2 linked regions of the Oryza sativa Japonica Group genome follow. The protein of the gene in region 2 interacts with the protein of the main gene of each other region in a pairwise test. Links are inferred from orthologs where the notes say so. Each region holds a gene or a part of one and is shown on either strand. Other genes may lie near its edges. The genes, in order: KIN14I and 187-kDa microtubule-associated protein AIR9.

Region 1 (4,266 bases), on a different chromosome or scaffold from region 2:
GAAATGAATGGTGGAGGTTATGATTAGATGATTAGTGAGATAGGTGGAAAAAGTGAATGATGAAAGGTTGTGATTGGTTGAGAAGAGAATGTTGATGGAGAAGTTGTTATATTTTCAAACAAATTCTGAGAGATAAAAGTTGTTATTTTTGAGACGGAGGGAGCATTATTTTTAAGTTGTTAAAAAATACTTACATTTAGTTAATGCTAAAATTTAATAAAATTTATTTTCACTACCATCTATACACCCACTATATCAGCACAACTGCACAAGCGGCGCCAGCAAAATCGATAGTAGTATACCGGATGTTTCTCGGTTTTACTGCAAAACGAGTTCGAGGACACCACGTTCTGCCAAACTTAATGTTTTTTTTTCTTGTTTGCCGTTATACTAGGAGGAGTAGGCTGGATGCAACAACATTCCCAATATTGAAGGAATATATAGGCTTGCAAAATGCCAGGACAAATTAAGAATTTGAGATGGGAGGAACGGGACAGAAAGCGATGTCATATCCTATTTGCTCTCCCGTAGGACCCATAATCGCTACACGTGGAATCGCGGGGGGGGGGGGGGGGGGGGACATCCGACATGGGATTCGTTCAATTCCAACTCATGCGGGGTAAATGAATGCATTTTGGTTTAGTACGCTTCACTTCATTGCACAAATAAATTGCGTGATTCAGTACGTACTATAAAATCCAAAAAAAAAAGAGTTACCAGTATTACCATTAGCATATCATTGCATACCAGATACGACTCTATGTTTATACTAATACGTGAAGCTGCAAATAGGCAAATGAAAATCAACTCATCTACTGCCTGGACTAGAGTACGAGAAGTAAAAATCTTCACGTCAGGATGCATGCTGTGTGTCACGTTGCTCATCGCGCGGTTCACGCTTGACGGCCATGTCATCACTGTAGAGTGGGCCCAACAGGACACCTCCCCCCTTGCTTCTTCTTTTTTTTTTTTTTTTTAAAAAAACAACGCAAACTGTTCTCCTCAAGCGCACCTCCCCCCCGAAAAATCAAAATCGAAGCGAGAGCGAGTAGTAATTCCCTCGCTGGCGCTGCTGCGTGATTTCTTTAATCCTCCGCCTCCGCCTCCTCGTCCTCGCCACCACTACTCCTCCCTCTCGTGAGCCCCTCGCCTCTCCCTGTCTCCCTCCCACCTCTCTCTCTCTCTCTCTCCTCTCTCTCTCTCTCTCTCTCTCTCTCTCTCTCTCTCTCTCTCCTCCTCCTCCTGCACCGCCCCGCGCCGCCCCTTGGCTTGGATCTCGTCCTGCCGGCCGCGGGCGGACGCGGCGGCGACCCGGTCCTCTCCCCACACCCCGACACGCCGTGCGAGTAGCTGTCTGTCTATACTTTCGAGGCCTGCATTGGCGGGATCTGCGTCCATTCGTCGAGCTGCACGGAGCGGGGAGGGGCGCGGAGCTCTGAGCTGGTGCTTCTGCTTGCGTTTTTTGGGTGTCGCTGGATCTGAGGGCCGCGCTGCTCGCCTGCTCCACGCCGGCTAACGGGGGCGGGGTTCAGGGGGTTCAGGGGGTTCTGGTGGTGGTTGGTAGCGATTGCTGCGTGGTGGATGGGAGTTGAGGCTTGAGGTTGAGGGGTTGCGTCTCTGAGGAGCGGGGTGGATAAGGGAGATGGCGGCCGGCGGCGTCGGTGGAAGCAACGGCGCGGCTACTGCCGCCACGCCGCTGCATGGCTCGGCGACCTCCAGCATGAACGGTGGCGGCGCCAGCGGCGGCGATGGGTACGACAGCGACGGCTACAGCTTCGCGCCACCGTGAGTGCTTGTCTCCTCCTCCTGGTGTTTCTGCTGTCGGTTTAGCGATTTTTGATTTCCTGCTGAAATTTCGGATAAGTTTTGTTCGTCTGAGGTTTTGAATTTTCTATTGTGTATGATTACCTAAAAGTTTCCCAGGCTGCTGGAAAGTAGAGGAAAAGTTGGGTTGAGAGAAGGATTTACTCATTTATTTTGGATTAGTGTCGCTATAATTGGGTGTGTTTGTTGTACTTGAATCCTGGCCTACCTTACTACTGCTTAAATGCTTCGGGTACCAAATTTTTTGTTATTCTGAACTTCGCCATTGGATCCCTATTTACCAAGCTGTGTTCCGTGCACATTCACATGCGATTTTTATTTGCTCTGTGAGGTAGAATGGATCCCTATTTACTCTCTGCATTACTGTTTTTGCAGTACCCCGACGACTTTGTCTATGTCCATACCTCCGGAACTTGCTGGAGCAATTCCACTTATTGATAGGTTCCAGGTATATGCTAGCATTCCCAATGGTGTGATACATCCCATGGCGATAGCAATATCTCATCCATGTTCAATTGTTTACATTACGATTGATGACCATGTTGTGCCTTTAGTGGTTTACAAGAGCGTACACTTTAGAGCTGAGGCATTGTTTTGCTGAACAATTGCAACAGTTGATTGTTTGAGACGGAAGATGCCCATCATAATTATCACCATGCAATAAATTTGACGAGATCCTGTAACAACTAAGAATTGATGTTTTCTCTATAAATGGATGGTGACATATTGAGAGAAAGGATAAGTATTCATATAGCTATGCATTTTGCACTATTCTAACTTGAATAAATAGGCTTGTCTACCTCGTTGTCATTAGTCCTTTTGTCCTTAACATTAGTATTTGCAAGTAGGAAACTTACCAGGCTGAAGAATTGGGAAAGGCTCCTCACAATCTTCTCATTGGTTGTAAACTGGATCATACTTGAATCTTGGATTTAACTTAGTTCGTTAGAGTTCTGTGTTTATTTGTAAATTTTGTCCCTGCGTTCAGTACCTGTAGACTGCAGTGATTCAATAGGAGCATGGAAATATTTCAATAGAATCGATTATTAGTGTCAGTACGCATGCATAATGAATTAATATGACTGCCATGTTAATCGTAGTACTGAAATATGAGTATATGACAGGTAGAGGGCTTTCTGAAGGCAATGCAAAAACAGATCCATTCAGCTGGAAAACGTGGTTTTTTTTCGAAGAAATCTGTGGGACCACATGTTCGTGAAAAGTTCACCTTGGAAGATATGTTGTGCTTCCAAAAGGTGATGCCATCAATCCCCACATTATCTGTTAGGTTGCATTTTGAGCAATTTGTTTATGTTTTCAAATCCTTTGCAAAAGTATAAGATTATGATAAAAATGGCGATGCTTCTATTATTCAGAGTTTCTTTGGTCTATTTTTGCAGGATCCTATTCCAACGTCATTGCTAAAAATAAGTAGTGACCTTGTAAGCCGTTCAATTAAGTTATTCCATGTCATACTGAAGTACATGGGCATCGATTCCCCAGCAATAATAAGTTTGGATGAAAGAATTGAACTTGTTGCAAAGCTTTACAAGCATACTTTGAAACGTTCTGAACTGAGAGATGAGCTCTTTGCACAGATTTCAAAACAAACACGTAACAATCCCGACAGGTATGAAGCAGATTTCTCATGGATAGCAATTCGATGGGATACAACCATCTTATGAATGTTATTATTTGTACTTACAGGGCTTGGTTAATAAGAGCTTGGGAGCTTATGTATTTATGTGCGTCATCCATGCCACCAAGCAAAGATATTGGAGCATACTTGTCTGAGTATGTTCACTACATTGCTCATGGCGCTACAACTGATTCTGATGTTCGAGTTCTAGCACTTAACACACTAAATGCACTGAAACGCTCAGTTAAGGCAGGCCCTAGGGTTACAATTCCTGCACGGGAGGAGATAGAGGCTCTTTTATCCAGCCGTAAGCTTACAACAATTGTTTTTTTCTTGGATGAAACTTTTGAAGAGATCACATATGACATGGCAACAACTGTTGCTGATGCTGTTGAGGTATTTACATTTCTCCTCTGCAAGTAGATTTGAAATTGATATATGCTAATGCTGTTGAGTTCTTCAGAATAATTCAGTCAGACACATATAATATTTTGTTGGTACGGGTGCAACTTTCATGTGATTAAGCTATTATTGGTCGGGTAGTTTAATAATAACCATATGAGCATGGCATGATTTTTAGCCAACTGATGGGCTTGTTAAATAGGTACTCCCTCCATCCCATAATATAAGGGATTTTGGAGGGATGTGACACATCGTAGGACAACGAATCTAGACAAGCTCCTGACTAGATTCGTTGTCCTAGGATGTGTCATATCCCTCTAAAATCCCTTATATTATGGGACGGAGGGAGTAAAAACTATGAATATATCTCTTTTATGTGCATGGGGACTGAGGACAGTTAA
Region 2 (3,052 bases):
ACACTTATGCACCAATTGAACTAATACAACATGATGCATCCAAACCCCAACTGCAAAGAGGGAGTCAAGATGCAGAAGTGCAAGCCTATGGACTGATCCTCTACAGGCCTATCCATTTTGAAATAAATAATGAATATTTTGCTCAACTAAAATATCCATCAGTTTCACAAAGTTACAATACGCATGCTGATTTAATCAATAAGACATAAGCGGTAGACAACCAACCTGGTAAGATCGGAGCAGTCACAATGGATATCAATTCGCTGGATCGTCCAAATACATCAGAGACTGAGCATTCACATTTCAGGCATCGGCCAATATCTTCGAAACGTACTTTGTATGAGCGAGAGCACTGGTTAGCCAGTGGCTCAAAAGTCTGATCCACTTCAGATCCACTGGAAGCAAACCTGCATCCAGAGATCCACAGCAAGTGTTATATGCCATATTGAACAATGTGACAAAGTCATGACTCACGACATACACCTCTTTGCATTACCATTGATATGTTATCTCTTTCTTGTAGTTACTCCATAGATGTTGTTGAACTGCAGTGCTTGGAATTTGTTCAAGAACAGTCAGTGTCTCTCTCTCAACCTGATTTCCCTTGAAAGAGAGTGCTTCGATTTTAAGTCGTTCTGGAAAGAAAAGGAGAATTAATACATGTAGTTGCATGGAAAATGTGAACATAGAACAGTATGTAATAGGTTCAGATATTAAAATTACCAGGGAGAATTATATCAGATGGCTCAGAGAGCCTTTCTTCTCCAATGATCCCATCAGAACGAACGGGAATGTACCTATCAAGAATTACAAAATATCATATTCCACAAATGGAAGCCTGATCGGTTATGCAGTAACACAATGTAACCAAGTCATTTTAAATGTGAGCAAGACCAGTTCAAAATAGAAAAATTAAAGTGCCTTACCCAAACAGTAGACGGCGGCTATAATCTGCATCTGTCACTTCATATATAATTAAATCAGCACCATCTATACAATGCCTGGTTCCATCACTAGATTCCCTGTACCACTTATACAAGCTTGACCCCTCATATCCACCATAATAGACTCCTGTTCCGCTATACAACAATGAACTTTTCTGCTTCAAGTGAACATCCGAAACAGATGGAAATGCTGCAAGGTTGGTAAAGGACTGAGGATGTGCAGGCAGTAGTAGTAAACACACAACACTGGCAAGGAAAAGATCAATGGGCAACCTGCCATGACAGGGTCACTGGTAACAGCCACCAACGGGTCACCGATCTCTCCATCATATCGTGCAGGAACCCAGTGAAGAATCAAGTAGAAACCAACATCATCTAACGAAGGTTTGTACATCCTGACAGCATTCCATTAGATCAAAGAGGATTAGTTCTTAACCTAAACCATTCAAAAGTAACAAGCTTGATGAAATCAGTAGGAGAACGCACAAATTTACTCCAACTTCAGAACATGAAGCCACCAGATCAGCCTCCAAGTTGTCAAGCTTCTCTTTAGTTCGGTACCATGTATATTTTCCAGTGCCTTCCTTACCACCAAAGTAGGTTTTGATTGGAGAAATTTCATTGTCTTGAAAACACTCTGGTAGAACAAGATCAACACCCTTGGGGTCCCCTGTGCCAATGATGGACCAACAAATAATTAATGACATCGATTATAATAATATTATTAAATTATGGATGAAATATGCCCAAAACTTTTTTTTTTTGAACTAGAGCCAGAAGGCTCCCATTTCTTTTACTAGAAATGATAGGCTAGTAACAGCAGTCTTTACAAAAGCAAAGAGAAAAGATTAGAAACTAAACATGAGGGTCACTCCAGAATCTGCCGGCCCTAGTTCAGAAGATTCCACAAACGAAATGCTACCCCTGGACCATTACAGGCTTGTCAAAACAAAACTAGGACCCGCAACAGCAAACATAAGCAGGCATCCATGCTTATGTTTAGTTCTGGTCCTAGCACAAAAAACTAGGACCCGCAACAGCACACTTATGCTTATGCTGAAATATGCCCAAAACTATATTCATCTTATCTGCTTTGGTGGACAAGATACATACTGACATAAAATATTCAGGTCCTAGCGCAAAAATATAACATTCTGAGGAAAACTAACCAGGTAGAATTGTATCCGATAGAACACTCTTAGGTGACCCTTGTGATCCATCATCTCGTACAGGTGTGAATATAAGCTCAATGCGCGAATCAACATCGTCTAGAGTAAGATCTAGACATTCTATTAAGATACAAACAATCAACCATTAGTTTGCTATGCAAAGAGAAAAGAACAAACAAACATTGCAGCTGTGTGTGAAAGATAGATACTATACGCATGCCATGAAAGAATGCTTAATGTAAACTAACCATCAGTAGACAATTTCTCTTTGCTGCCATCAGAATGTAATCTGAACCATTCTTGGATGCAGTCTCCCTTGAAACTAGAATGATAAGAAAGAAAAAAAAATAATGTCATCAAATGTGCGGCATTAGACATAATCTAAAACGGAGGTAATGTATCTCACCCTCCTGTATACTCAGCATGAAAGGTCAAACAGCCACCTTCAACCATAGGGCCAGCTAACTCAAGAGATAAGCATGTAGGTGGTCCTGTAAACAGGTAAATTACGAAAATGTTAGTCCTCCGTTTAGTCCACTTATTGTTTTTCAAATTAAGAACAAACGCTGAACCACACAACCAAATAAGAACACTTATTTGCCAAAGTGGTCAAGTTATCAGTTTATCTACCAGGTAAGATAGGACCAGACTCTTCTGTTGACACCAAAGAACCATGAACTCCATCACTTCTAACAGGCTCACACAAGACAGATATGTAAAAGCCAATATCATTACAGTTCAAGGTGTATGATGAACTTGCAGCCCCTTCAATTTGTTTTTGTGATCCATCTGAACTAGTCTGTGGACACAAAAAAAGTTTATAAGGATGTAGCTGGTAACTTGGTACATCCAGGCAGTTACAAATCACTGTGCCATTGTTACGTGAAAGGGAAGAGTAGTGTTTTAATAAGAGGAACCTACCAATATCCAACGGAATAT

The links.
Region 1: the proteins of 187-kDa microtubule-associated protein AIR9 (region 2) and KIN14I interact in binary tests that used the Arabidopsis thaliana proteins (3 or more experiments, as listed by UniProt). The link is inferred for Oryza sativa Japonica Group from reciprocal best matches to the Arabidopsis thaliana genes AIR9 and ZWI.

What each region holds. Positions count from the first base shown.
Region 1 is NC_089038.1:34,566,874-34,571,139, reverse strand, and holds the start of KIN14I (kinesin-like protein KIN-14I), read left to right. Parts: upstream 1-1,157; 5' UTR 1,158-1,720; coding exon 1,721-1,785; intron 1,786-2,199; coding exon 2,200-2,272; intron 2,273-2,948; coding exon 2,949-3,080; intron 3,081-3,224; coding exon 3,225-3,454; intron 3,455-3,531; coding exon 3,532-3,859; intron 3,860-4,266. UniProt on the Arabidopsis thaliana protein: Minus-end microtubule-dependent motor protein involved in the regulation of cell division and trichome morphogenesis through microtubules bundling. Possesses basal and microtubule-stimulated ATPase activities.
Region 2 is NC_089041.1:2,552,167-2,555,218, reverse strand, and holds part of 187-kDa microtubule-associated protein AIR9, read right to left. Parts: coding exon 3,035-3,052; intron 2,913-3,034; coding exon 2,744-2,912; intron 2,605-2,743; coding exon 2,520-2,604; intron 2,436-2,519; coding exon 2,362-2,435; intron 2,234-2,361; coding exon 2,114-2,233; intron 1,615-2,113; coding exon 1,431-1,614; intron 1,340-1,430; coding exon 1,218-1,339; intron 1,135-1,217; coding exon 927-1,134; intron 798-926; coding exon 724-797; intron 636-723; coding exon 497-635; intron 408-496; coding exon 226-407; intron 1-225. UniProt on the Arabidopsis thaliana protein: Microtubule-associated protein that may be involved in the maturation of cell plates and proper insertion of cross-walls after cytokinesis.